Tamandua tetradactyla: one gene and its partners. The protein of the gene in region 4 purifies or fractionates together with the protein of the main gene of each other region. This does not show direct contact. Links are inferred from orthologs where the notes say so. Each region holds a gene or a part of one and is shown on either strand. Other genes may lie near its edges.

The links.
Region 1: the proteins of SSRP1 (region 4) and MCM6 purify together in Homo sapiens (affinity purification with mass spectrometry; 4 studies listed by BioGRID and IntAct, with this or other methods). This does not show direct contact. The link is inferred for Tamandua tetradactyla from reciprocal best matches to the Homo sapiens genes SSRP1 and MCM6.
Region 2: the proteins of SSRP1 (region 4) and TRIM24 purify together in Homo sapiens (affinity purification with mass spectrometry; 3 studies listed by BioGRID and IntAct, with this or other methods). This does not show direct contact. The link is inferred for Tamandua tetradactyla from reciprocal best matches to the Homo sapiens genes SSRP1 and TRIM24.
Region 3: the proteins of SSRP1 (region 4) and MMS22L purify together in Homo sapiens (affinity purification with mass spectrometry; 3 studies listed by BioGRID and IntAct, counting the BioPlex papers as one, with this or other methods). This does not show direct contact. The link is inferred for Tamandua tetradactyla from reciprocal best matches to the Homo sapiens genes SSRP1 and MMS22L.

Annotation. Positions count from the first base shown.
Region 1 is NC_135329.1:105,540,095-105,547,761, forward strand, and holds the start of MCM6 (DNA replication licensing factor MCM6), read right to left. Parts: upstream 3,019-7,667; 5' UTR 2,938-3,018; coding exon 2,831-2,937; intron 683-2,830; coding exon 536-682; intron 1-535. UniProt on the Homo sapiens protein: Acts as a component of the MCM2-7 complex (MCM complex) which is the replicative helicase essential for 'once per cell cycle' DNA replication initiation and elongation in eukaryotic cells.
Region 2 is NC_135327.1:181,411,233-181,418,607, forward strand, and holds the start of TRIM24 (transcription intermediary factor 1-alpha), read left to right. Parts: upstream 1-4,357; coding exon 4,358-4,721; intron 4,722-7,375. UniProt on the Homo sapiens protein: Transcriptional coactivator that interacts with numerous nuclear receptors and coactivators and modulates the transcription of target genes.
Region 3 is NC_135331.1:154,686,182-154,693,881, reverse strand, and holds the start of MMS22L (protein MMS22-like), read left to right. Parts: upstream 1-4,686; 5' UTR 4,687-4,808; intron 4,809-4,938; exon of another isoform or gene 4,939-5,037; intron 5,038-5,426; 5' UTR 5,427-5,441; coding exon 5,442-5,602; intron 5,603-6,669; coding exon 6,670-6,795; intron 6,796-7,700. UniProt on the Homo sapiens protein: Component of the MMS22L-TONSL complex, a complex that promotes homologous recombination-mediated repair of double-strand breaks (DSBs) at stalled or collapsed replication forks.
Region 4 is NC_135335.1:20,253,513-20,260,945, forward strand, and holds the start of SSRP1 (FACT complex subunit SSRP1), read left to right. Parts: upstream 1-4,416; 5' UTR 4,417-4,564; intron 4,565-5,038; 5' UTR 5,039-5,159; coding exon 5,160-5,213; intron 5,214-5,628; coding exon 5,629-5,814; intron 5,815-6,390; coding exon 6,391-6,496; intron 6,497-6,747; coding exon 6,748-6,938; intron 6,939-7,433. Other genes in the region: P2RX3 (P2X purinoceptor 3), read right to left, coding at 2,409-2,527. UniProt on the Homo sapiens protein: Component of the FACT complex, a general chromatin factor that acts to reorganize nucleosomes. The FACT complex is involved in multiple processes that require DNA as a template such as mRNA elongation, DNA replication and DNA repair.

The DNA of each region.
Region 1 (7,667 bases), on a different chromosome or scaffold from region 4:
CAAATGTACAGATGATTGTCCCCTCTACTATTCTTTATTTTCTACAATATACACCTCATTTTTATTTAAAACAAATTTAAAGTTTAAGGGAATGGGAGGTACAGTAATGACACTGCTACAAAGATAGCCCTGATGTAAGAAGGACCCACACAAACACATACTGTTCTTTTTCAAAATACCTACTAGGGTGAGGATGTGTGTGGAGTGGGGTAGGAGGCAGGATCAAAGGAATGACAGCAACAGTACTAAATGTCTGACACAAAGTAAGCAATCCTCTTAAAACCTGGGAAAACTACATAGAAAGAAAAGGTTTTCAATTTATGTGAAAAAAACATTCAGCTCCACAAAGGCCAAGATGAAGTCCAGAATAGTTCTAAAATGACCACAGATAATACCAAAAGGACCCCCCTTTCTGAGGAGGCAAGTAACTGACAGCTGCTTCCTTGCCGCACAAGTGAATACTTCCAGACCAGGAAGAGCTGGCTTCCCAGAACTTCACCTCTATTCAAAGTAAAGGAGATTAATACACCCATACCTATAGAACTCCTCCTGTATGGTGGTGGAAAGTTGCTGGTTAAATTGCTCCAGGTCCACAAAACTCACAATCAATGTGTTTCTCTCAGGACGAATCAGCTCCTCTGCTAACTGCAAGTACTTTATTTCTCCATCGCTGCTCTGGAACCTGCAGATATATACACATCAGATTAAATTAAGGAAAAGGGGAGCAGTAGAAAGAATCTGAATGCTGATAGTTCAGTGTATTGCTTAAATATCATCCAGCTTTAGACTCAGAAGTTATTTATTCCTCTAAACCTGCTTCCTTTAAATAAGAAAATGTTCATTTTTTAACAGATAAGGAAAGATCACCCATTTCATGAGACAGCTGCTAAGATTAAATGAGAGAATGCCTATAAACATAGGAAAATTAGGTCTTTGGGTTTTAACATAAATTTCTTGACTGGAATGTGTTATTCTATAATTATTAACTATTACTAATAAAATGTTCAATCAGGATATCCACGTAAAAGCCCAAAGGCCTAAATTTCCTGGGGAATTTGAAAACTAATATAAAATCAGAATAAAAACAAAGTGTTTCACTGTCTAAGACCTCAGAGAAATTGAAATACACATACATGCACACAAAAGAGCTGGTGAAATTTTTTTCAAGAGTTGCCTACTTTTTTTTAACATAATATGCAGATTAATTATGATAGAATTCCATCTTCAAATATAGGATGTTCTAACTCTCTTAAATATTTATTGAACATGTTGCCAGAGGCACCTGAAGCTGAAAATGAGTGCTATTTCTGCCCTAGAGTTTACACTCAAGACAGATATATAAACAACTGAGAAAGGGAAGAAAGTCTTCTTACTAAAGAGAGGTACAAAAAATGCAGTTAGTATAAACTAAGTCTGCCTAAAAGAAAGGCTTTCTACATATCTAAAAGTGTCACTGGAATTCAGGCTTGGAAGATGATAAAAATTCCAAAGAAAAACAGGGGTCCTGGATAGACTCTCTATGCTTGCAATTATTTTGCAATGTCGGAGATGATATGGGAGGAATTTGAATGACAACTGGAGCTGACTGTGGGAAATAAAACCGGAAGGGGCACTATGAAGAATTTGGACTTTATTCTATGGTGATGGGGAATCAAAGTTGGCTTTTCAAGAGGGAGGCAAACATTTTTTCTCAACAAAGTACAAGGACTATTTGTCTTGTTCATTGCCATCCCCAGTACTTAACAGTAAAGTGAAGGAACCTAAACTATTCGCTGAAACAAAATATTTATTGAGGACATTTATGATGTGTTGGGTAGGTGGTGCTGAGGATGGGATTCACACTCAAAATGAGCGGCTGACAGGTAAATAAAAGTAGCCACATTACCAGAAACATACAGGAAATGGTAACCCTGGGAACATTAGGGAAAAAGGTATGAATGGTGCCTGGGTCATGAGGGCTTCACAAAGGAGATACAGGGTTGAGCGAGTAGCTGTCAGGCAGAGAATAACAGTGCTAAAAGTATGGATATATAAATCTTAAGTTTAAGTATGTCAGAATTTCAATATTCCGAAGTCCTGGAGGCAGGTCAGTCGAGACTCTTAGGGAGAGTAGTGATGTATCTTTACTATGCAAGAAAGCGAACAATGGGAAAAAAATCAGGGGAATGGGGTTATGGGAAACCAGAAACCTGGAAGAGTGGGAGGGGTGAAGGAAGGAAATCAGGCAGAAGGATGGGTGTGTTCAGCTGCCTTTCAGCAGGGCGGAGCTCACCCCCCCATCGAGCATGTGTCAAACTTGGTCACAGCAGAGAGATACACTTTCGCTCTGGTACTTTCATCTCCAGTGGTGGCCAGGAATCCCGGTGGCCCCACCAGTCTTCTGGCTGGCTGTTCAATCAGAGTTCTGCCAGGACCCAAATGCCACTTCTGCCTTTCACTCGACCAGGCCGAGTCGTGTGGCCTGTTTGGTTAACCTCATCGAAGCTCAGTTTTTGCATCCGTTAACAAGGGGCTAAACTACTACCGGCCTTCGAGGGTTGTAGCGATAATTAAACCATATAAGGCAAATGCTTAGCGCAGGACATGCAGATCAACAAGTTTGAATAAACACTCAAAATTATTTTTCTTTTAAACCAGCCCTGTCCTCTTGAGGACCTGGCTCGGAGCTTAAAACCGGGCAGAGGGCGCTCCTCCAGGGCGCGCGATTCCTCAGCCCCCGAGGCGCGCGCCCCGCCCGAGCCCGGAGCGGAGAGGGCCGCGAGGGGAAGTTACTTCAGGGAGGGCGCCCCCGGGGCTGGCGGCCGGGGAAGACCCAGGCCTGCCGACTTACTCTTCCAAGAAGTCCAGGAACAGTTTCTGGCACTTCTCAGCCACCTCGTCGCGGACTTCCAGGTGCTGGGAGCCAGCGCCCGGCTCTGCGGCCGCGGCGAGGTCCATGGCTGCCTAGCACTTTGGAGCTGCCGCCAACACTAACACACTTCGCGACGAGCTACCTCTCCCCAGGCGCATTCGCTTTGCGCGCGCTGGCGCAGCTTTCTCCCCGCCCCCTTGCCGGACCGGGACGGCGGGAGCCAATCGTGGCGCAGGAGCTCTGAAATTTCGCGCCAAGCCTGTCCAATGAGAGGTAAGTTCTCCTGCTGTCCCGCCCACTAAGCGGGGATTTCGCGCCAAATGCAAATACCTTCTGGAGAAAGCGGTGGGGGGTGGGTGGCTTTGTCTTTGCGCCTGCGCAATGTGTCTGCAATGTGTCTGCGTCCTTGCGGTGTTCGGCTTCTTGAGCTGGTTAAAAGCTGGGATCTTTGTCTGGGTGGCTGGTCAGATGTTCCTCAGATCATTCTATTGATATTAATTGAGCAGTAGAAATAAAACTCTGTGGGAGAGAACTATAAGTAAGATTCAAAGCCCTACTTGAGCTATCTGCTTGGAGGAAATAAGCTGTAAACCGCCGGATAAAAGCCTGTAGAAGAAAAAAAATAGTGAAAACAGAAACTAGCAGAGCTGAGCTGTGCAACAGTGAGCAATGGCGGGCAGTTACTTAGATTAATGCTGACTGGGGAATATGAGCTAAGTATTTGACACCGTTGGTTGATCCCTTTCTTAAAACGAACTGTTATTTTGTGCGCTCGTGGGTTTGCCCTATGTGGCCGTCTTTCTCCGACTCTTTGATTTCCCTTGGGTTTTCTATCTCTTCAGCTGTTCCCCGTTACCTCTTTTGCAGGCTCCTCTTCTTTAGCGAATCCCGCGAAAATTCTTTGAAGAAGCACTGTTGGCTTCTTTACGCTGATGATTTACAAATGTGTATCCGCAGCCGCCACTTTTTCCTGGGCCTCCAAGAGATTAAGAGAAATCTGGACCACTTCCGTATTTTGACGCTTTCATTATATTAGAAAGATTTTTAAATGCCAGATAGAGGGATGACAGTTATAGAAATTGTTGTTTTCTAAATCTTGGATGTTTTATTTCTGCTTTTTTTCAATAAGTAGAATAATAAGCGTGGATTAAGTCAGTGTACTTATTTACCCCAGGTCCCCTCCCCACTCTTTTTAAAATTTAGTAATTGTTTTAACACACATACACAAATATACTCTTCTCAAGATATTTACAGTTTTTAGCAAAAAAAAGCTACTTGTTGTGCACTGTAGTTTATCTGTGATTGTGTGTATTACCTCATTGCAAGGTGATGGGAGCTTGAGGCCCTGTATCTCTCAGCCTTTACCAGCTCCAGACTGTATATCCACCTACTTAATGGACATCCTCACCTGTATGTTTTGTAGGAACCTCAAACTCAACTGCTTCTTAGATATTCACAATCTCAGTGCCCCAAAATATGTCCACAAGGTATCCAGGAGCAATTTCATAACCAGATTCTGCCTCATCCTCAAAAGGCCTCACTTTTTTCTTTCCCATTTTTCCTTTCCTCTCTTCCTCGTCTATCCTTGGTAGATTTCTGAGAACTCAGATCCCATGTACAGAAGGAAAAGACCAAACATGAGAGAGCAGACAGAGTTCCAGGCTGACCTTAACAGCTAAGCTCTCTGAGAAACTCAGATAAAGCCTTTTGCTTCAAGATAAGCCTCCATTGCCTCACAAGAATTGAAGCTGTAGCTCCCTCTCTGGGACTTGGTCACACCCCCAGAACCTCTTCCCTAGAAGGTAATGTCATTCCTTTTCTCAGGGTTTGCCGTATGCCTCATATATATATATATATATATATTGTTGTCTGCTTGAGCTTACCATGCCACTGTCTTTGGGTGGTTCTGATAACAGTTTCCACTGCCAGCAGCATGTGAGGAAACATCAGAGGTCATCTGGATTTACCTCATGAAGAGTTGGAATTGCTAGTGGGAACTGAGTGGGAGGTGGAGGTAGGGGAGGAGGGAAGAAGACCCTTGGAAAAATTTTGTGGCTGGAGAACACAGGCCTCCTAAGTATCTTAAGTCTGTCCACTTCTCTTCATCCCCATTATTAATCATTTTATTTAGGCTACCATCCATTTTCATGCATATTCCTAGGAATTCAGTTACCTCTCTAGTCTGTTTACTTAGACTTATTCCCAGCTCAATCCACTCTCCACTCTGCAGCCAAACTAAACTTTCTGAAATATAAATTGGGGCCTTCTGATTAATATGACAGATTGAAGAGGTCTTTTTCTGTTTCCTTTGCAATCCTAAAATGACAGTAAATGAATAAAATCGAGTATCGATAGAGAGAGGAATAGAAGACAACAATAGACAGAGAGCAATCAAATTTTAGAGGACAGAAAGGGAAAGCATGGATGATAACTGTCCAAGCAAAGCTGAGAAAGCTGAAACCTGTGTCTTCAGAAGGCAGTCTTTGAGAAGGACCAGATAGCCAGGGTAACAGTCAACCAGTATGCACTTGTACAGCTTGTGCCAATTTGAAAGGATATATGTACCCTAGAAAAATCATGTTTTATCCTAATCCCATTTTGTAAAGGCAGCTGTTTCTTCTAATCCCTATTCAGTACTGTATGTTTGAAACTGTAATTAGATCAACTCCCTGGAATGTTTGACTCAATTAAGAGTGATTGTTAAGATGGATTAGGTGGAAACATGTCTCCACCCATTTGGGTGGGTATTAATTAGTTTACTAGAATCCTATAAAAGAGGAAACATTTTGGAGAATGTGAGAGATTCTGAGAGAGCAGAACGACAGAGCCATGAGAAGCAGAATGCCCACCAGCCAGCAACCTTTGGAGATAAAGAAGGAAAATGCTTCCTGGGGAGCTCCATGAAATAGGAAGCCAGGAGAGAAAGCTAGCAGATAATGCCATGTTCGCCACATGCCTTTCCAGATGAGAGAGAAACCCTAACCATGTTCGCCACATGCCCTTTCAGTCAAGAGAGAAACTCTGTGTTCACCATGTGTCTTTCTACTTGAGAGAGAAACCGTGAACTTCATTGGCCTTCTTGAATCAAGGTATCTTTCCCTGGATGCCTTAGATTGGACGTTTCTATAAACTTGTTTTAATTGGGGCATTTTCTTGGCCTTAGAACTGTAAGCTAGCAACTTATTAAATTCCCCTTTTTAAAAGCTATTCCATTTCTGGTATATTGCAATCCGGCAGCTAGCAAACTAGAATACAGCTGTACATATTAAAATGCAATATTGAAATAGTTTCTTACTATTTGGTAAATCGCTACTGTCCTGAGCCTCCTCCAGCCCCACCCACCATGCAACTCTGCCACCCACCAATCCAGTTACTCTCCAGGCTCCCTCCACCCCAAGATCTCACAATTCAGGGAGTAAGGGAGCAATGCCTGCCTGGACGCTGCATCAGTTCAATGGCCTGCATCCATACTGATCGTTGATACTTTATCATACCAGTTGATAAATATTTTTACATTTGAAATCTAATTTGTTGGGTATTAGTATAGCTACTCCTGCTCTTTTTTGATTGTTATTTGCATGAAATATCTTTTCCTAAACTTTCACTTTCAACCTAGGTTTATCCTTGGGTCTAAGATTTATTTCCTGTAGACAGCATATAGATGAGTCCTGTTTTTTAATCCATTCTGCCAGTCTATGTCTTTTGATTGGGGAATTCAATCCATTACCATTTAGTGTTATTGCTGTACAGGTAGTACGTTCTTCTACCATTTTGCCTTTTGGATTTTATATGTCATATCTAATTTTCCTTCTTTTTACCTTTACTTATAGTCTTCCTTTTTACACTCTTCTCCACACCTCTCTCTTCTGTCTTTTCGTATCTGTCTCTAGTGCTCCCTTTGGTATTTCTTGCAGAGCTGGTCTCTTGGTCACAAATTCTTCCAGTGATTTTTTGTCTGAAAATGTTTTAATTTCTCCCTCCTTTTTGAAGGGCAGTTTTGTTGGGTATAGAATTCTTGGTTGGCAGTTTTTCTCTTTTAGTAATTTAAATATATCATCCCACTGTCTTCTCACCTCCATGGTTTCTGCTGAGAAATCTACGCATAGTCTTATTGGGTTTCCCTTTTATGTGATGGATTGCTTTTCTCTTGTTGCTTTCAAGAGCCTCTCTTTCTCTTTGACCTCTGACATTCTGATTAGTAAGTGTCTTGGAGTACGTCTATATGGCTCTATTCTGTTTGGGGTACGCTGTACTTCTTGGATCTATAATTTTAAGTCTTTCATAAGAGTTGGGAAATTTTCAGTGATAATTTCCTTCATTAGTTTTTCACCTCCTTTTCCCTTCTCTTCTCCTTCTGGGACACCCACAACACGTATATTTGTGCACCTCATATTGTCATTCAATTCCCTGAGTCCCTGCTCATATTTTTCCACTTTTTTCCTATAGTTTCTGTTTCGTGTCAGATTTCAGATGTTCCATCCTCCAGTTCACTAATCCTCTCAAAACCTACCATTGTAGATTTTGTTTTTTTCATCTCTTCTCCTGTGCCTTTCATTACCATTTAGCCATTCCGTGATTTATTTTTTTGGACTTTCGATTTCTTCTTTTTGTTCATTCCTTGCCTTCTTTATATCCTCCCTCAATTCATTGATTTGGTTTTTGATGAGGTTTTCCATGTCTGTTCGTATATTCTGAATTAATTGTTTCAGCTCCTGTATGTCATTTGAATTGTTGGTTTGTTCCTTTTACTGGGCCATATCTTCAATTTTCCTGGTGTGATTTGTTATTTTTTGCTGGTGTATAGACATTTAATTAC
Region 2 (7,375 bases), on a different chromosome or scaffold from region 4:
TTTTCTCCCAAGTAGTGTGGCAATCTGGGACTAACTGCCAGTGATCCTTGGCTCCTCTGTCATATGGCAAGGCACAGGGCAGCATTTCCTGGTCTTTTCCTTTCTCTCACATTCAGTTTCAGCTTCTTGCTTCCTATGACTTCTTTCTCTCTTTGTCTGAATTTTATTCTCTTGTAAAGGGCTCCAGTAATAAGAATAACACCCATCTTGGCTGAGGTGGGTCACACGTTAATTGAAGTAGCCTCACCAAAATGTCCTACTTACAATGGGTTCACACCCACAGGAATGGGTTAACTATAAAAACACATTCTTCTGGTACATACCGTTTCAAACCACCACAAGTCTCTTCAACAAATGGGAAAATCAGATCTCCAGTCACAAAAGAATGAAGGTAGTCTCCTACCTTACATCATATACAAAAATCAACTCAAAATAGTTCTGGCTCTTATATTTAGTTTTTTTTTATCTATCAAACTCTTAGAAGAAAACATAGGAAGACATCTTCAGGACCTTGAGTTAGGCAATGGTTTCTTAGACTTTTCACCCAAAGCATAAGCAACAAAAGAAAAAATAGATAAATGAGACCTCACTAAAAATTAAAAACCTTTGTGCATTAAAGGACTTTATCATGAAAATAAAATAACAACTTACACAATGGGAGAAAATATTTGGAAACCACATAGCTGATAAGGGTTTAATATATCGAATATATAAAGAAATCCTATAACTCAACAACAACAACAAAACACCCAATTAAAAAGTGGGCAAAAGACATGAATAAATATTTATCAAAAGAAGATATACAAATTATCAAAAGCACTTGAAAAGATGCTCAATATCAGTAGCCATTAAGGAAATACAAATCAAAACCACAATTAGATGCAGTTTCACACCCACTAGAAAGTCTATTATTTAAAAAACAAAAGATAAGTACTGGAGAGGATAGAGAAATAGATATACTTATTCATGGCTGGTGGAATAGTAAAATGGTACATTGGCTGTGGAAGAAAGTTTGAGGTTCCTAGAAAGCTAAGTATAGAATAACCATATGATACAGCAATCCCACTTTTAGGTATATACTCAAAAGAATTGAAAGTAGGGACTTTTTGCACACCAATATACATAGTGGCATTATTCACAATTGTCAAAAGATGGAAGCAACGCAGTTTCCATCAACTGCTGAATGGATAAACAAAATATATATACACATGTACTGGTTTGAATCTGTTATGTGCCCCAGAAAAGCTTATGTTCTTTTAATCCATCTTTGTGGATGCAGACCTATTGTGGGTTGGAACTTTTGCTTTGGTTGTTTACACGGAGATGTGACCCACCCAATTCTAATCCTTTTCTGGAGTACTTTGAGAGAGGATAAAAGACACTAAAAGCCCAGAGAGCTTAGAGAGAAAACTCCCAGAGACATTTGGAGACAGTCATTGAAACCAGAACCAGGAGAGAAGGACCAGCAGATGTCGCCATCTGCCTTCCCATGTGACAGGAACCCCAGAGGCCAGCAGCCTTTCCCCAGAAAAAGTATCTTCCTGACCATTCCAAAATGGTTCCCTCTTAAAGGACTGCAGTAAGCAACCCCACCTTGAATGGGCAAAGTCAGATCTTCATCTAATCAAAAGGTCACACCCACAATTGGGTGTATCACATCTCCATGTAAGTAATCCAATTAAAGTTTCTGCCCCACAATATTACATCAGGATTAAAAGAGATTTGACTGCTCCCACAAAAATTGGGTCAGGATAAATTCCTTAGGGCAGCTTCAAGCCAAGGGAGGTCAAATGTCTGGGTCAAGGCAAGTGGATGGCAGCTCCACATGCCCTACTTTGATCAGAGATGAGGGACGCTTGTGCTGCCCAAGTATTCAGTTTTTATATACCCACAGGGTGATTGAGCAAGTATTCATCAGGCTACCTTTGTGCCCTGGCAAGCAGCTGCAGTTGGTTGAGATTCAAGATCACCTAGCTGCCTGTGGTCTCTTGCAAAATAGAACATGCCATACACCTGCATGCAAACAAGCAAAAATGGAAACATACTGAACACCTGCATGCAAACAATTGAGAGAGGAAAAGGAGATATTCACTAGTATCTAACTCTCTTGCTCTTTTCACCGACTCCTTTCTCTTCCAACTCAAACAACTCTTATCTCCTCTCTCAGAGCTGGTGATAGTGATGGTGGCACAGTTTAGAAAATGGCAAGTATTCCAATTTGTTTGAGGCAAGATATGGGAAAGCAGTAAGGATGAGTCTGGAAGTTCAGTTAGGTTGTGTCCTAGTTTCCAGGATGCTATGATAAATACCACAGGATGGGTTAGCTTAAACAATGGGAATTTATTATCACACAGTTTGGGGGCTAGAAGACTTGCTTCTCCTGGGGTCAGTAGTATTCTGCCAGGCTGGCAATCCTTGGGGCTCCTTGGTTTTCCCATCACATAGTGATGTCTTCTCCTTTCTCTTCCAACTTCTGCCTGCCTTCTGGCTCATCCCTGTGGCTTTCTCTATTTCTTTTGTTCATCAAGGACATCAGTAAACTTGATTAAGACCAATACTAATTCGGTTGGCCACACTTTAACTACAAATAACATTTTCAAAAGTCTTATTTATGATTAGCGTGCACCCAAAGGAATGGGATTATAGTTAACACTTTTTTTTCCCTAGCCTACGTAACACAATCTTCTGTAAGTAATAAGGGCTAATAATCATAGAGGGACTGATAAGTGAGCAAATAAATTTGGGATAGGTCTCTGTACTGTAAGGATGGTTCTGGATCACCTTATAATGATATATAAATATTGAATGTCATTAAGTAGAACTTCATGGTGGAGTAATTTATGGATACTAGATTTGAAAATCTGCTTAGGAAAGAGAGTGGTAGGTGGAGAATAACTGGGAAATTGTTAGGTCTTGTGGGAAGACCGATTACTAGAATTTGCGTTCACCCATTGCCATTCAATGTATTCTTCCAGGATCATATCCTAACAAAGCCTTTCTTGATCCCATGCCACTCTCCTCCAACGTCCAGAACTCTTCATTTATACTAAAAAATATAATTAAAAAAGGCACTTAGGAGCAATCTTTTTTTACTTTAATTTCTTACATTACTTGGTACATAGGCTTGTTTTACCACCCTGTTCCTTATACGCGTGGACATTTTTTAGTGAAAATGTGCGTTCTGTTACAGGATGGAGAAGAAGAATAATATTGAAGTCATGAATTAGTTGGACATCAGTTTTGAGATTTATTTTTATTTTTTTAAAGAAAAATGATATTTTGTTCAATAAAGTTTTTTTGCAATCATTGGATTTTAATTCATAAAATCCCTGGAAAATGCACTATAAAGATTCATTTAAAAAGCAAATCATTGACATTAAAATGTAATCATTTTCATTGGAGAAATCATCAAAAAATTTCCCATTGGCAAGAAAAAGTCCCCGTTTAATCTTCATACTCAAATATTCATCATACTGGGTAAATTCAGGTGGTAAAAATCAATGCTGCCTTAGTGGTTTTTTTACACAATAATTTTCCACCCTTCTTGTTATTCTCTTGTTTGTTCTTCACTGCCTTCACTTCATTCTCCTTTTACCCTAACAGGAACCCCATTTCCAGTAGTAGTAAAATAAGAGTTTTTGAAGCAGTTAATTAATGGCATTGAGTAGATACGATGGAGCTCCGCCCCGTAGGAGGGGCAAACACAAGCAGATCGAATTAAGTGGTTCGTCGTTAACAAACGAACCCTTAATCTTTTCAGGAGAGCTAAACATCCACAAAGGCCCAATCAGAGGCCGCAGTTCTCGGAGTTCGAGGGGGCGGAGCTGGACACTTGCCCTCCCACCTCCCAGCCTCCCGCGGGGGCCGAGTGAGCCTCCCGGGCTTCGCCCGGCCCCACCCCTTCGCCAGGCACGGCGGCTATTGGCCGGTGCGCTCTTTGCGGTCGCCTCAGTTGCTGGGAGAGGGAGGGCGGGGGCGGGAACTGAGGTAGGCAGTGGGGTAGGAGAGAAAGGCGGGTAGGCAGCGGAGCGTGAGGGAGGAGGCTAGGGTGGGCCGGGCGGATTCCGCGAGCACCGCGGCGGTTGGCGAAACGGAGGGGGCGCAGCCTCCCGGTGCGAGAAACGGTCCCGGCTGACAGATCCCGGTCTTCCGGCTGCGCCACCCGGGAGGCGGATCCCTGGGGCCTGAGGAAGCTTCTTCGGCCCGGCTCCTCCCCTCCTCCCTCTCGCTCCTGAGGGTCTACAGAGCGGTCTCTGAAGAGAAGGAGGAGGTCGTCGGGGGCGGCGGCGGCGGCGGCTGCGGGCGGAGACCGCGCTCGCCCTTCTTCGGCGGCGGCGGCGGCGGCGGGGGCAGGACAATGGAGGTGGCTGTGGAGAAGGCGGCGGCCCCGGCGGCGGCGGCAGCTTCGGCGGCCACGGGGGGGCCCTCGGCAGCGCCGAGCGGAGAGAACGAGGCCGAGAGTCGGCAGGGCCCCGACTCGGAGCGCGGGGGCGAGGCGGCCCGGCTCAACCTGTTGGACACTTGCGCCGTGTGCCACCAGAACATCCAGAGCCGGGCGCCCAAGCTGCTTCCTTGCCTGCATTCCTTCTGCCAGCGCTGCTTGCCGGTGCCCCAGCGCTTCCTTATGCTCCCTGCACCGATGCTGGGCTCGGCTGAGACTCCGCCGCCCGTTCCCGCCTCTGGCTCGCCAGTCAGTGGCACATCGCCGTTCGTCACCCAAGGTGAGAGCTGACCGTGGACGCGTGGGGGAGCCCGGGCCGGGGAGGCGGGCGCCTCTGTGCGCCGGGACCCGCTGTCACGTCGCCGCCGCCGGGGAGCTCGGCGGGGGAGGGGCGAGGAGGAGGGTCTGTGTTGGCGGCGGTGACATGGTGGGCCAGCGCGCTCTGCAGCGTTCCGCGCGTTCCGCGAGCAACTTCCGTGGGTGCTGAGGACTTGGCAAAGCTGCTGCTCCTTTTGCTTCTGAGCATTCTCCTCCAGGGTTGGGTGGCCCATGTGACCCGGACTTTTGTAAACCTCTCGAACTGTGCTGTAGTCTGTATCTCGGGTTCTTTGCTGCTGCCCGCTGTATACCGAAAGCTTTGTCCAGGTCCATCTGATTCTAATCATCTCCTATATACCCACGTTATTTGAACTGGAGTGGGGAAGGGAGGAATAAGGATTAAGTGATGCGGTCTTTATTTGATGATTGATTGTAGGTTGGATGCCGTCTATTTCCTGTTTTGTGTATTTTGGGTTCGTTACCTTAATGCGTGTCTAATTGTCTTCTCTCCCCTCTGATGGGACAAAGGAACCAAGAGACGGTGTTTTGTCTTTCCCTTTCAAAGGTTTTATTTTTAGAAGGTAAACGGTGAAGAAAAATAGAACAATCCAAAGTGATTCGGGGCAGAGATTCTCCAGTATTTTTAAGACAGCAGCTGGAAATGCTTAAGTTACAGTTCTTTTTGTGGTGTTTGTTACTGTATAATGAGACTTTTGACAGGTAGTTCCCGTTGCTCGTGTTAACAGGTTTGAAACATTTAAAGTAAGTTATAAGCATAGTAGTTACTTGTTTCTAATAGAATGCTTGAAGTTTTTAAAATTTTAATATTGAAAATACTTGAGCACTTTTTAAAAATACCAAATAACTGGAAATGGGGAATTATTTTAAATATGCACTTCTTAGAGAGAATAGTTGAATTAATTTGAGAAAATGCTAATTAAATAATTGAGGTCAAGTGGTATATAAAATTGAGGCTCCAAAGAGATTGTGGTCTTAGAGTCTAATTAATTAAATATCAGGAGCTGTGCTAGTTGTGAGAAACACCATGGATCTCTGTTTCTGCACGTCATGTCTGTGAGATACGCCCTTTGTTTCATCTTGTTTTTTTTTCAAGGATATTTGGAAAATAGAGAATAGTGGCACATATGTTTATTGTCCACATAAAAGACTGAGGTTCCCTAAGCATAGGGTTCCTCTTCTGTAACACAACTGCTGCCTGTGCAGGTGTCAACCCGCCCTCTTCAGTTACCCTCTGGGAACTGGGGCTGGGGCAACCAGTGCAAAAAATGCTCATGTTTGGCTTATGCTATTGTTTTAAGTAATAAACTGTTCTTCATTACTTCTGCCAGCATTCTACCGTGATAGGCTATTTCATTAACTTGCAAGTAGGGTGCAATTACAGATCCTTCACACTAATTTGCTCTTCAACATTGAAGTGGCCCACCTCTTGAAAAGTTAGTACAGGTTAAAGTTAAATCTTAGTTCTTAACTTTTAGATACATTTTAAGGTTTCTTTTATTTAAACTTTAAGTGGGAAAATAGTCTGGTAACCAATTATGATCTGAGATTTGCATCACTTTAGAATTAAGATTTATTGTGTGCCCGGCAGTGACATTTAGACCTGCAGAATGAGAATATGGGTTATAAAAGCTCTGATGCTTGATTCTGAGACAGGTTTGCAAATTTAGACTTCTCAAAATAGTCTACATAATTCTAATCTCCAAATATTTTTTATCTTTGTGTTTGTATTGAAAGCAAGAGTTCAAGGAAAGTAGTTAAATTGAGAGATACTATTTTTATTATGTACTCTAGTGGAAGACTAAGAAAAAGGTCTTTAATAAATTATATTTTAAAAGACACCTCTTAAAAAGGGTTGGTGTTATCTTCAATGAATTAAAAAATGTTATCCTGATCTTGCTGACTTGAGTATTTTTCTCTTTCTCCTTGCAAACAGATTTTAATACTAGCTGAAGCAAAAGTTGAGGTGATGTATTTCATAACTAAATAAATGGGGTTCATTTGATCATTTCTACTCTTCATTATCCTGAACAACTTGTGGATTCAAGGCATTGTGAGTTAAAACTACAATACCTACAGAGACTAAGCACAAAATTGAGATGGTGAACAATGAGCCTGGGGGGAAGGTAATAGGAAAAGATGGAGAGTGAAAAGGCAGCAAAATGTACTTAGCTCAGCAGTAGAGAACAGGACCAATGTTGAAGGATATATATGTATGTATGTATTATTTTTTTAAGTGAGAAGTCTGTGTGTGTGTGTGTGTGTGTAAAATTTCTCTAGTATTAGGTATTTGTAGATAATTAAAGAAAATGTATAGATATAGGTCCGTACTGTAGGCCAAACAAAACAGCTTTTGTTGCAGCCCCTTACCATGTTGGAGTTTGTACTCTTCCTGTTTAGATTTAGATACAGATTTTCAAACTCTAGTTCTAGTAGAATCACCTTGTATTCTTGTTAAAAGTTTACATTTTCAGTCCCCTCTCCACAGGGTCTAATTCTACTTAATTTGGAATAGTTTAATATTTCTAGAGTATAATATTAAAACTTGGTTTTCTTTATAATTCAATCAGTATTGTTCCAGAATACAGTTCATTCGTA
Region 3 (7,700 bases), on a different chromosome or scaffold from region 4:
GAGTAATTTAAGCAAAATTGAAAACATTTGGTGATGGATTAAAAATGGGGCTGAGGGAGACAAGGCTGTCAAGGTGGACTACTGTTTAGCCTCAGGCTTTCAGTACGGGATTCATGTGATATCATTCATAAAGTTAGAAATACTGGTATGAGGATCTGGCTTGGAGATAGAATGATATAACCAATTTTAGCCATCAAGTTTAAGGTTCTTGAGACATCTATGAGAAGATACCAAGTAGGGAATTTTATTTATAGTCTGCAGCTCAGAGGACAGGTTCTGGATAGAGAGATAAATTTTAGTGTCATTTGTATTGAGTTAGTAACTGAAACTGTGGTTGTGAGAGAAGGTGGTGAGGGAAAAATACCGAGACCTGAGAAAAGCCTGGCTCCATTTGGTTGACCATAGAACTCATGGGGTTATTCAGATAGTCACGAGCAAGGTTTGTCTTGTTTCGCTTTTCTGTTTTATAGCATGTGAGCGGGTGTATTTGTTATCTATTGCTGTGTAGGAAATTACACTAAAGGTAGTGTTGAAACAACAAGTTTGAAACATTGAAACAATGTTTTTGTAGTTCAAGAATCTGGGTATGGCTTAGCTGGGTCCTTTGCTTTAAGACTTTCACAGTCTCCAATCAAGGTGTCAGCAGGGAATGCTCCTAAAGTTGTAATTGGCCATCTGTAAAGTCTGCCCAGGCCTAGCCATCACAAGTGTAGGCTTGGGGGTGGATATACCTTCCAAGCTCACTCATGTGGTCGTTGGTAGGATTCAGTTCCTTGAAGACTGTCAGACTGAGGATGGTAGAACGTCACCGGTTGTTGGCCAGAGTCCTACCTCACTTCCTTGCCTTATGAGCCTAATGCAGCTGCTAGCTTCATTAAAGCTAGCAAGTCTAGGAGGCAAGAGGAAGAGAGAGCCAGGGTGAGAGATAAAGAGAGTGCTAGCAAGATGAGAACTTATAGTCTTTTGTAACCTAATCATGGAAGAGACATTCCATCATATTTTGCTTTATTCTATTTATTAAAAGCAAGTCATTAGGTTCAGCCCACACACCAAAGGTGGAGGATTACAAACGGGCATTAATAACAGGTAGCAGAGATTATTGGGAGTTATTTTTGAAGTTGCCTGCCATAGTAGGCTTAGGGAAACAAGAAAAGGGAGAAGAGGAGATTGAAGGCGAAAAAGCAGAAGGGTAATTGCTAGCTTAAGCTTCTGGAGGTAGAAGGAGATGGAATAAGAGCACATACAGCAGGGAAAGATGCTTAAGATACAGAAAAACGGAGAGAATGAGGGTTAAAAATGGTATTTTTCTTTGGCACAGGTTTGCTTAAGGTTGAGATGTGTTGCATTGTTAATGACCTGGGACCCTGAAGAGTTGCATGAAGTTTCCTTTCATAATGTAGTAAGCTGCTCCTTCTCAATTAACTAAACCTCCACATAACTACCAAAGTACTTTTTTAAAGCATGGTATCTGTGCCAAGGAGTTAGGAGATCATTATCTGTACACAAAATTAGTGCAATAAAGTACTATGGGTCAACAGAAAGTCAGTTGAGGTGGGTTATATACACACTTAAGATAGATAGCCATAGAGATAACTTAATATTTTCAATAGCACAGGCCTAAAAGCCATAACTGAGTTTAGCTATCTCAGCGTACCCTCATGATGCCCAATCGGATAATAACTTCATTAGAATTGGATTTAGTAGTGGTCAGATTTTACTAAAATGTTAAATCCAATTCTAAGCTTAAGAGCAGTTACTAAAAATAAGTAAAGTGATCATGTGCGCCATGTTTCCATTAAGCTATAAGAAGACATGGTCTTAAATTTTAGAAAAGCTTTCAATTAAGAAGGTGATAAACTTCCTGAAACTGGGGGCTTTAAACCACTGGAATATATTATGTTCAGTTGGATTTGTAAAACGTTTCCCTCCTAAAGACATATGTATTAAATTGTTTGACTTTGAATCTGATAGATGACAACATAAGAATGAATCAAATAAATAAATGATTTGTGAATACATTTTAAACAAGTCAGAATGGGCTCATAATCATTAAACATTTAAATCCTATCGTGTGCTCACGACTCTTTCACCAAATAGCTGAATGTTATTGGAGAAAATCACAAAATCATGATGTCTGAACTCTACCTTTTTAACACAAACCTGATTCCCAGACATCCATACTACACTTTCCTGGTATGTCCACCTTTTTTTTTTACTCACCAGTGTGACTATTTTATACCTTTTATCTCTTCAAATCTCTAACAACTCTTTCCTCTCACTTCTAGTTGATGTGTCATAGAGAAAATAGAGGAAATAAAACAAGAACTACCTCAACTTCCTACCACCAATTCACCAACATTACCCATCTTTATCTGCATAATCTGCAATCCTGTACAATGAAAAAGTGTCCTGATTCATTTACTAGCCCTCTAAATATCTAAAAGTTTATAGTTTTTGCTTTCACATTTAGGTCCATGATCAGCTTTGAGTTAATTTTTGTAAGTGATGTCAAAGCTTATATTTTAGTTTATCAGTATTCGATTGTTCCAGAACATTTGTTGAAAAGACTCTTCTCCCATAGAATTACCTTGGCAGTTTTGCCGAAACTCGATATATGTTTTTACGGTTTCTTCCTGGACTCTCTATTCTTGTTCCAATTGACTATGTCTATCCTTATGCCAATAGCACATTTTATCGTTTTTTTCTGCGAGCTTCATCAGTTTTTGTCTTTCTTCTATGTTGTCCAATTTATTGGCATAAAGACGTTCATGATATTCCCTTATTATCCTTGATATTCCCTTATTATCCTTTTAATGTCTGTAGAATAAGTAGTGATAGCCCCTTTTTAATTTGTGATATTGGCTGCCTGTGTCTTCTATTTTTCTTGGTCTGGGTAAAGGGTTTATGATTTATACCGGTCTTTTCAAAGAACCAGCTTTTGTTTCTCCATTGTTCCTCTGTTCTTCATTCCATTGATCTCTGCTCTTATCACTATTTTCTCTATTTTGCTTTTTTCATTTTAATTTGCTGTTTTTTATTTCTAGTTTCTTAAGATGGACGTTTAGTGCCACCAGTTAATGTTACAAATTTTGATACTATATTTTCATTGTTAATTCAAAAGCTAAGAGAGACAGAAGCTCAGAGAGGAAGCCCCTGAAGTCAGAAGCTGGAAGCAATGAAACCCAGGTGAGAAAGGAGAGACCAGCAGACAAGCCATGTGCCTTTCCATGTGACAGTGTAGTTGAGGATGCTGGCAGCCTGTCTTTAGAGTCCAGGTATTGTCCTGTTGATGCCTTGATTTGGACACTTTAACAGCCTCAGAACTGTAAACTTGTAAGTTAATAAATGGATTGTAAAAAAAGCCAATCCATTTCTGGTACATTGTATTTCATCAGCGTTAACAAACTAAAACACCTGTCAAAGATCTTGACTGATAACGTGTTGCAGTACCACTTCTATACCAGCTTAAAAAATTTATAGAGAGCCTATTTTGGTTCTTTTCATCCCACTCATTGGATTCAACCAATTGACCATTTAACATCAGGTATTTAAAAAAGAAAGAGGGGACTATTTTTGGATGTTTTGACTAGAGGAAGGCATGATAATGACTATCTTTTGACCCCGTTCTCCCAAATTCCGGGCCGGGGCACAATATTCTCATTTCTAGGCATTATTCCCTCGGGATCTCTGTGGATGACACTATGTGTCATGTTAGAGACTCCATGTGGACTATAAATGAGCTGCAGAGGTCCCATCAAAGCCTCAGGTCTCATGGTACATCAATTAAACAGAGTAGATATAATATCCACTACAGCAGACCCAGATTGTGGTCAGAAAAGAGATCTCTCCTGGGATTTTTCCATTTCCCCAAATCCCAGCCTATTTGTCAGAAAATATGTGGTATTTGGTTTTAACAGAAGAAAGAGCTATGATTGGTTAGCTATGCAGGAACTGAACGCGGGAGAAACTCTACTGTGGAGAAACGGGCATTAGCAAATATTCAAATTACAGCAGGAGATTTGATTGAGAAATTATTGTTTTTCTTGAATTCAAGGTGGAGATATACTGAAATGGGTTATCGTTGGCTTAGATTGAACAGTCTCCCGGGTAGATTTTAAAGCCACTTAGAAAGATAAGAAAAAATTGGTAATGGGTTATCATTTTACAAAAGCGTGCTAAACCTAAACTTGTTTGTGCAGAGATGTCGCAAAGAAAGGGAACATTTTATATCGAAAGCAAGTCACCTGACCTAGTCAGTGTTTCCGAACACTGGACTAGCCACAATTTTGCACTCGCCTGGCTCACAATCCATTAGCAAAAGACACCGTTATCACAGCAAATGAAATGTCGGCACTAGGGCAGGAAGAAAAGCCTGCGCGCCTTCCACGTGTGAAAAAGTCCTCCTGGGGCCGCGTCCGAAGATCCTCCCGCTGACCCCCTAGATCCCACTCCGGTAGACCCGCTAGATTCCACCACCAGGGTCTTTGAATCAGTTTGGTTCGCCAGCTAGGCCCCGCCCACCTACAAACCCCACGCGCCAATCAGCAGTACAAAACAAAAGCGTAACGCGCTACCCAGGCTCCGGCCGCCAGACTCTCGCGAGAACTCGTGATAGGTCGGCGGTTCCCGCGCAGACCTCGCGAGAAGGCCACCAGCCAGGAGGGCGGGCTCCGCCGGGGACCCGCCTCCCTTGAGCGCGCGCGCGCCGCGGCGGGAATTTCGCGTGTTCCGGGTTGGGATTCCAAAGATTCCGGGACTGTGGTCGGGCCTGGCGGGGGGCAGATCCTGGAGCCTGGAAGTGTGGCCAGGTAGGACATGCGTCGTGGGCAGGAGTCGCCCCTGGGAGCTCGGCTGCCGCCGTGCGCGGCGCACGGCTTCCCTCTTGGCGGGACTAGTCCAGGGATTCGGGGAAGGGTGGAGCGTTGGCACCCGGCACTGCCGTGCTTTTCCCTGTTTCGAGCCTGCGAGGGAGCGCTCTGTGCGCCTGGGAGACGCTCGGTGCTGTTTTCCGGAACGTAGGCCAGGGCGCAGTTCGAGGTAGGATGGAGAGTTGAGTCTGTCCTGCAACCCTTTCTTCCCTCTTCACTCAGTCTCGGGCTGCAGGGTCTGACCTGGAAGGATAGATTTTAAGTCCCTACCAGAGCCGGTGGAGGTGTATTTTGTCTTCGGTCCCGACAGCCTTGATCTCGGAGAGGTGGGGGCGGGCAGGAAGCTTGCCGAGGACTTGGCTACCCCCGGGGGTCGTGGCGATTTTTTCTGTTGCGCCGGAGGGCACGTTTTCGCAGTTGCTTTTCAAGATTCTTAACTTCTTTGGGACCTTTCTGAAGTAACTCCCAACTTCTTGGCCCGCCCCACCTCTACCAATCTCTTAAAAACTTCTCTTTGGAGCCCCTAATGAAAATCACATTAAACCTCAAACATTTCAGGACATGAAGTAAATAATGGATAGCTGTACCCCTACGTCATCGTTCCTGACGGACAGCTTGGAGTTGGAACTGGGGAGAGAATGGTGCAAACCCCCTTGCTTTTCTTGCGATTTTGACAACAGAGAAGGAAGAAGTTTTTCTGGAGAGTCCTACCTTTCCAGCGGAGCTCTTAAGCGGTAGGTGAACAGAGGCTTTCTTTCATCGGATTATGAATCAGTTTGTTAGGAAATACTTAGTTGTGATATCAGATAATTAAACTTTAATTTTCATCAAGACGTGTTTTGTAAATCAGCTAAATATATCACACGGGTGCAGACTATAATTAGTTTTATGACTGGTTTTCTAGTTAGAGCATACCTAAAAGTATTTTACATTTTAAGAGTTTCCTTTGTAACTGATATCTCATCGCAACCTCACATTTGGTGCTACCTCATTTGGGCTAAGGAACTGGGCACTAATTTCCTTTTACTTAAAATATATTCTGAAGTGCCTGGGCTTTTTAAAATGGAATTTCCTTTTAAAGAATGAGATCATATTCTAAGGCTTCTCAGTAGTTTTTAAGTAACCCACACACATTTTTTGTTGCCCTAATTCTTTCTAACTTTATCTCTCTCTCTCTCTAAATATATATATATAAGTCATACAGGTGTAGTTATTTTAAACTTTCTAATAAATGGTCTGGTTCACAGAAATGTTGTTTTTCATTGCATTTGGTAGATATACACACGTAAAACTGTTGAAGTATTTTGAGTGTTCTTGAATATTTGATCAATTTCACTCAGAAAGGAAACCATTTTTGTTGATTTTATAGTTGTATTATTTGAGACCCTAAAAGAGATTACCTAACTTGATTGTGCTATTCACTAGGCATGGCTCAGAATAATATTTGCCTATTTTTTTAAAAATCAGTTTTGTCCTTTCAAAGAATGAAATTCTACAACAACGATGAAATTCCCACTAATGAAGACAGGCAAAAATATGTTCTCTAGGCTCCTTTTAAAATTATTCTCTCAGTTATTACTCTTTAGTTATACTTTTTAATCACTGTGTACTACTGAATTTTTAAAATAGTCTAGCTATAATAAACCTGAATCTGTAAGGTACCAAAGCCTTACATATTCCTGACTTTGTAACATCATTGCTGGTTATATATAACATGGATTCATTTAATGTCAAAAAGACATGCTATACTATGGTATTTAGTATACTTTTTATGGAACTTCAATCAGAATTTTCATTTCAGATTAATTTTGAATCTTGATCCTTTGCCAATTAATTTTGAAGAGGATGTAGTGGAAATATTTGGCATTCAGTGGGTTACGGAAACTGCATTAGTGAATTCATCAAGAGACCTCTTTAATTTATTCAGGTATGTTTTTTCTTTTTTCAAAACTACCTGAATGTAGATAATAGTTGATTTTATAACCTAAGTTGCTAGGTGGTTTTTAATACTGAAATTATTAAAGCACCAGTAGAGTTGCATTTGTTGTTCACCTTATTAATGACCTGTAATAATAATTACACAAGTTGATGAAGTAATAGTTTTAATGAGTTTCTTTTTTAGTGGTTTTCAAATCTGTCAATGTATATTTGACATCATGTATTGAAGGCAAATATTTAAGTCTTTGAATACTGTTGTAATTTTGGAAGAAGAGTAAAATACTTTTGCTCCTTAATAGCCATAGTCTTTCACCGTCTTTAGAGAATGAGCTCAAACTTTCTAAATGTATCTTTCAAACTGTGTAATAGGAATATGATTAATTCTCTATTTGAATATATTTAGCAAAAATTTTAATGAAAAATTTCAAATATACAATAAGTAGAATAGTTTAATGAACTTCCATATACATACCCATCTCTGTTATAATAAACATTTATAAAGGTTTTATTACATTTCCTATGTCTTTTCCTCCTTCTCTTCTTTTGATTTAAGTATTTTTAAGCAAATTTGAAGCGTTGTATCATACTTTGTATAATACTTTAGTATGCGTTTCTTAAAAATACGAACTTTTTTTTTACATAAACACTATTTCATCACAGTTAACAAAAGTAAAAATAATTCTGTTAATATTTAAAACCCAGTTCATGTTCAGATTTTTAGATGATATTTTGAAGTGGAGTCAATGTTGACGACAAATTATTATCCAAAAGCACATGAAGAATATATATGTATGTGGTATATTTAAATGAAAATGGAAAGGTGGAATGATTTCTCCTCCCATCCCATCCCATGAGACTTTGTGAAGAGACCTCACTGTGTCTGTACCATGCCAT
Region 4 (7,433 bases):
ATCAGCCACAGTCATTTCTCCAGCCCAAAAGTCTTGTCTTTCTCTCTCTCACACACGTAAACATACGCGCATGCTAGAGGCTTCGGTAGCTTTCCATTACTTATTCTTAGGTAAAAATGAAAGCTCCTCGAGGGTGTCTGAGCTCTGGCCCCTGAATATGTCCCCAACCCTAACTCACAACCCCGGCCTTTGCCCCTCTACTCCAGCCATAATGACCTTCTCTTCTACCTCCTATTTGCCAAGCTTTTCCCTGCACAGAGAACCCCTACCTTCCCTTCTTACCCTCTGGGTTCTTCTTATAGATCTTGACATACATGGACTCTCTCCAGAAAATCTTCCTTTAGTTACCCAATCAGGTCAAATACCTCCATGTTAGGCTCTCCTGTCACTGTGAACCTCTTCTTTAAACCTGAGCCACAGTTGAGATTTTACATTTGTTTGCAGATATTATTTGCTTAGCATCAGTCTCTTGCATTATACTGTAAGCTCCTCGAGGACAAGGGCTTTATCTGCCTTGCCCACCATTTGAAGCTGGGGGTGTACAATGCCTGGCATGAAGACCCGCTCAATAAATATTTGCTAAACGGATGACAATGGATTCATGTAGTTACGACGGGGCATGTGCACGGAGATGGGGTTTGGGGCAGGGGGGTGGGCTGCAGAGTGAGCTGATGTAATTGGAAGGAGCTGCTCCTTGGGGAACTGTCAGACTGAGATAGATGGGGTTGGGTATCAAAATGCCAAAGAGCCTTTCCTGCTCGGGGGCAGGCTGGGCTCCAGCCCTGAGCATGGGATTGTGATAAGAGACACAAGGGCGGTGGGGGCAGAAGGGGCTGCTGGTCCAGGAGCCAGCTGTCTGTGTCCTCCATCCATCAATGTCCCTCCTGGGACCAACGGAGCCAGGCGAGGCTGGAATGTGCCGAGGCAGCTTTTGCATTCACTGAGACCAACATACCATCTGTGATTATAAACAATCACAGCATCGAATACACACGTGAACATGGAACATTCAAAAACCAACTCTGAGCCAAGCCCTGGAGGTGGAGACATGCAACATTTGCAAACATTTTATTTCAAAAAACTCAAAGTTGGGAGGGAACCTCAAGGCCTTTTACTTCTTTCTGAAAGCTCGACTCTCTTCTCTAACATACTCGAGGCGCTCCTGATGTACAGCCTCGCCTATAACACCCACATAATCAAAGCCCACTGGCTCTCACAAGCACATGGAGCAAAAAATCGCTTAAGACACACTTTTCTGCCCACATCCTCACACTTGCCCCGGCTCATGTGCACACAGAATGTCTTCTTTGACTGCCTGAACTAACTCATGTCACGACTCCATGTCTCTTACACACATGCACACACACACACACACACACACACACACACACACACACACCCATTGTCTCGAGGAAAAGCATGAGAGTAGAGACCTGCACAAAGAAAACCATCAACGGTTCTGCTTGTATTCCCTGGTGCCCACCAGTTTATGGAAACGATCACAAGAAGAAAAGAACCTGTGTTTTCTCTCCTGATCATTGTCTGCTCCATGGCTATTTGTGTGTGTGTGTGTGTGCACGCGTGTGGTGGTGGTGGGGTGCCTCCAAGAAGTGGGGGTCTAGAGGGACTTTAGTGGGAGTTTTGAGACCTTACTGGCTCTTAAGCAAATCCCAGGATGGGGTATGTAGCACAAATTTGGGTATAAGCAGGGAAATTTGTGCTTTCTGACAAAGGGGAGCGTCTCTGGATTCTTGAGTGGGGGAGGGGGTCCCCAGACTTTTTTTTCAGAAGAAAAACTCTTCAGTAACTCTTTCCTCAGTGTAATTTGCCCAAGAGCAAGGGCTTCTCCCCTTTCCAAGCTCTCTCCCATCTCCCCGGGGCCAGAAGGGGAATCCCTCATTCTAAAATAAATCCTCTCGGCTGACCCTCCTTCCCACCCCATCACCAACCTGATCAACCTGTCACTATGTCCTTTGTTTCTGTGGCTTCCCATCCCCCTTCCCAGGCTCCCTTGTCTTTTGAGACCCCAAAGAGTTGACTGAGAGCAGTAGAAGGTGGGGTCCGCCTATTTCCTGGGGTGGGTGTGGGGGGGATGAGGAACAGGAGATGGAGCACCTGAGACCTCTCCTGGTGGGGGCAGTGCCAGGGTAAGGACCCCATACCTCAGAGGGTATGTCTTGGAATTGCTCTCCAACTCTGGAGCATTTACTGGGGAAAAAACAAACAAACTCGGCTGGGGACCAGTCCCTGGGTGTGGACAGCCGGGGCTGGTCCTTTAGGACAGTTCCACTGAAGGCACTGCTCCACAAGAGGAGAGGCCAGCAGGCTGGATCATGGCATGGTGCGGGGTGAAGGGGGCGAGACCAGGCGACCCTCCCCTCCTAGGACCGAAAGGGCCACAGACTCACCCCACAAAGTAGGAGATGATCAGAAGCTGAACCGCCCGATTGATGATCCCAATGGTCCAGCTCTTCACAACCACCGACTTGGTGGTTTCATAGGTGAAGAAGTCTGAGATGCAGTTCATGGTGAGAATGCCCAGGGGCCACCCAGAGGGGGCCTAACAGCAGCCTCAAGAGGGAGAGGTCCTCAGCCCAGGGAGACAGAGATGGAGGCCTGGAGATGAGGGGTGGGGGGGATGGTGCAGCTTAGAGGGGTGCGGGGAGCAGGGACCCCGTTCCTTTAAGCTAGGCAACTCTAGCTCAGGGTCCAGGCTCTCTCTGCACTTGACGTTCTAGGCTGCCAAGAGCCCAGGGCCAGGGCGGGGGAGACCCCCTTTTTGTTTGTCTCCACCCCACTCCCCTGTGATGTCACGGCAGGGGTGGGGTCTCTAATCCTGGGCTCCTGATTGCCTGGGATGCAGCTGGTTAGGTCCCTCTGGGATTCGTGCTTTATCTGCACTCTGTCTACCATCTCTGTTCTGCTCTCTTACGCTGCATCTTTGTCCTAGCTCAGCAGCTGCTTCATGCTCTCCCAAGTCTCTTACTATGCCCTATCCTCCAGCCACCTAACACCCTGCCTGAATGGAGCAACCCCTTCATTTCTGAGTGTACGCCTAAAACCACCCAATTCAGCAGCCATACCCACTCCCCTCCCCCAACAGCATGGGTTAGGGGGAGGGGTTTATTGCATATTTCCCTGGGAGGGGGTGAGTAGAGAGTCACATATTTCTAACCTCAGTTGACAGTGGCTGAAACTCTACCTGCAGTAAAGCAGTTATCACATTTTTTTTTTAAAAAAACTATCGGTTTAGTTATTTGGATCATTTGTTAGATTACGTGCCCCTTGACAGCTGGGGCTGTTTTCATCTTGTTCACTGGTTTCTCAAAGCCTGGAAGTGTGTTGGGTTAATAATAAGTCTTCAGTACGTGTTGATTGAATTCAATGAACTTATGTTGCTAGGTTGTGTTGCAACAGCCATTTCCCAGAGATTGAAGCCATGAGATCAGGGGGCCATGGTGTATTTCTGTTGTCCTTTATCACAGCAAGCTGGTGTAACTGAAGTCAGATTGTCAGGGAAATCTTGGGTTTAAATATTCTACCCTAATGTCTTCATATAAGACACTTCATCAGCTATTCTGAATGTGGAGTAATCGCGATTCAAGAAGACCTGGGTTCTGGCCTCCAGGTTTCTCATTGAGATCCTGGGCAAGTCCCCTGAAGGTCCCACTTTTCTCATCTGCAGAAGGAGTTGGATTAGAGCAACATTTCTTCTCGGTCTGGCCTTCCCTGGTTTTGTAAGACGCACGGTGCGGCTCGGTTTCCGCGATCCCAGGCTGATGGGATTTCAAATCCTTTCCGGCTCTACGGTGCATGTGACACCAGCGCTGGAACTTGACACCGCCGATTGCCAGCCTCTTCCGGGGGGGCCTATCAATTGCCGTTTTGAGTGCGGCTTTTGGGAGCAGACAGTGAAATTTCAAAAAGAATCCAGCCCTACTGGACCGGGGATACAGCCAGAGAGCCATATGGTCACAACACCAACGCCCGCATTCTCTGTGCAGCCAGTGGGAGGGGTCGTTTCTCGCCACAGCTCTTTAAATCTTTTCCTTCAGGTTCCAGAGACTCCTCTCCGCTCCAAAGCAACCACTCTCGTGCAGTGGAAGGACGTGCAACACCGCAGCACGGACACACGCATACGTGCAAAGTCTTGATAAAACAAAACTATACAATTTCCCTTTAGAATCCAGTCCTCCCCTGAAGAAGGGGCTGTAACTTCCTAAAGAAGCACTTCCCTCCTGGAGTCAGATTCCATTCCCCTGCCACCCCCCCGGGGTAAGCGGACTTCAGCCCCCAAACGACTCCCTCGGGTCCTCCAGAGCGGCTGACACTCTATGGGACCGCCTCACAGGCGGTCCGGGCTCGCGCTTCTCTAGCCCGCTCGTCCTCTCTATGGTCTAAGCGCGACTTCCGGTGGCGGGACGCGGGGCCGCGCACGCGGGAAAGCTTCCCCTGCGTCCCTCTTCCAGCCCCCAGGTTCCCATCCCCGTTTCCCCCTCCCCCTGCGCCCCCCAGCGCGCCCACCGCCCGTGCCGGGGCCCTCGTGAGGTGGCCGCCCGAGGAGGTAGGTGGCCGGCGTCCCCGTCCCCCAGGGAGGCGGGCTCAGCTCCCCCGCGGCACGCTCGAGATGGACCGTTCCGTATTCGAATCCGCGGGCAGTGGGCGAATCCATTTTGGGGGGAGGGGGAGACGCGGGTCTGGGGCCGCGCCGCGCGGGTCGCTCGGGGAGGGAAACTCTGCAGCCTGAGCTGGGTTGGGGGCCCGGGCAAGGTGTGGGGTCCTGGCAAGCCCTGGAGTTCCGCTGCTCGTTGCCATGGCGCCCAGGGGAGCGCTTCGAGCTAGGGTCGGGTTGGGGTGGAAGCGCTCCTTCGGGCCTCGGTTCTCGGGCCGGGCCTGGCTCCTTTACCCCGCAGAGGCTGCCTGAAGCTTCCCAGGCAGGGGAGATCCTGAGACGTCCCAGGGCCAGTCGCGGGTGCCACCTCGGCCCAGCCCCGAGCACAGTGATGTCTTTCGTGCTGGTCTGTCCTTTTGAATTTAGGTTCCCAACTTGCGGAACAACTGGACGCGCACCGAGGAGTTGGGACTCAGCTCCCAGTTTTTTTTTGGCTCCCCCTTGTGCAGCCTAGGGCTTCGTGCCCAGGCCAGCGGGCCAGATCAGCATGGCAGAGACCCTGGAATTCAACGACATCTATCAGGAGGTGAAAGGCTCAATGGTGAGAAAGGCTTGAACTTTTAATACGGTTGGAAGTGGGGTAGAGAGTTTGTGCTTTAACAAGGGCTTGCTTTGATAATGTGGTTAGTATGGAAGAGGAGGATTCAAAATATTATGTGTGTCTGGTGCTTCTCCAACGAGGAACGACACTGAGAGGGACTCCTTGGATCTCAGGGTTAGAAAGGATTTTATAGGTTGTTCGGTTCCAAATCCCGCTGTTAGAGATGAGGCAGTTAAGGACCCACAGGGCTTTGGGTGCCAGAGTGGAGATGAGATCCATTCTTCCTATTTGTCTGTTCTCACTGGCCCTGACGACTTCTGGTGTTGCTCCTGCATCGATAAAGGGCATTGGGTGGGACCATGCATGGCACCCAGTGTGTACCATCTCCACCTCTCTGGGCCTGTTTTCCCGACAGAACGATGGCCGGCTGAGGTTGAGCCGCCAAGGCATTATCTTCAAGAACAGCAAGACGGGCAAAGTGGACAATATCCAGGCTGGGGAGCTGACGGAAGGCATCTGGCGTCGTGTAGCTCTAGGCCATGGACTTAAACTGCTCACAAAGAACGGCCACGTCTACAAATACGATGGCTTCCGAGAATCGGTGAGATGTCCTAATGCAAATAGCCTCCTTTTTTGTGTTATCTTGTATATTTTTGAACTTTTAGAGAGAGTAGGGACTTTCCGATAGTATTGCTATTTTGAGCTTATTAGAGCTGGGCCATTGAGGCCGTGGAACAGTCAGGGTTCTGTTATGCTGTTCAAGTCTGGTGAGTTTCTTTAAGATTTCCTGCTGTTTTTATTTAGATGATTTCTACCTGTTTTCTTAATCCAGGTTGAGAAGCTTGGCTTGATGCTTTTGTTTTATTTTTCCACTTGGAGTTGCTTCAGATTGGAAGACTTTCTTTATCTTAATTGCCACTTCCTTTAAAGTAACACCTATACAAAGTTTAAGAAGCTAGTACTATTAAGTCTCATAAACAGGAATGTCAGTTCATTACTTTACTCTTCCTCTAGCCTGCGATCCATTCCCTGTATACAATCTCTTTAAACTACTTTACAGCTGAGATTAAGTTAGCATGGATTTTTGACACAGGGGGTACCGGGACAGTCTCTTGTGAATACGTAACCCTAGCCTATTCAAGGCTGTGTTGAGGTTCTCTTTCTCCTCTATCCACAGGAGTTTGAGAAACTCTCTGATTTCTTCAAAACTCACTATCGCCTTGAGCTAATGGAGAAGGACCTCTGTGTGAAGGGCTGGAACTGGGGGACGGTGAAGTTTGGCGGTGAGTTTTAGGAGAGACTGGTTTATAGGAGAAGGTAGGATGAAGGGTTTTGGTCTTTGACTCGTTTTGCTCTCTGTCCTGTGCCACTGTCTCCGATTTCTGGTCAGTCCATGCATTCATCCTGCATTTTATGGATATCGCCAGTGTGCACAAAATAACCCCAGTTCCCCTTCCTCACGGAACTTACGGTCTGGTGGAAATGCTCTTTGTTCAGGGGAGGAGCATGTGGCTTAATAATGCCTTCCCTATAGGGCAGCTGCTTTCCTTTGACATCGGCGACCAGCCTGTCTTCGAGATACCCCTCAGCAATGTGTCCCAGTGCACCACGGGCAAGAACGAGGTGACACTGGAATTCCACCAGAACGACGATGCAGAGGTCTCGCTCATGGAGGTGCGCTTCTACGTGCCTCCCACTCAGGAGGATGGCGTGGACCCCGTTGAGGTGAGGCCGCCCCCACTTGCCTTGGGAGCAGATGGTAGTGAGCAGACTTGGGCTGACCTGGGGACAGGAGCTTGCCTGATGACCAGGGTGTGCTTTTTTTTAGTTTTTAAAAAAAATATAACAAACAAACGCAAACATTCTTAATTTAAGATTATTCCGTTCTACACATATAATCAGTAATTCACAATATTATCACATGGTTGCATATTCATCATCATGATCATTTCTTAGAACATTTACATCGATTCAGAAAAAGCAATAAAAAGACAACAGAAAAAAATTCATCCATACCATACCCCTTACTCCTCCCTTTCATTGATCACTAGCATTTCAACCTAAATTTATTTTAACATTTGTCCCCTCTATTATTTATTTTTATTCCATATATTTTATTCGTCTGTTGATAAGGTAGACAAAAGGAGCATCAGACACAAAGTTTTCACAATCACACAGTCACATTGTGAAAGCTGTATCATTATACAATCATCATCAAGA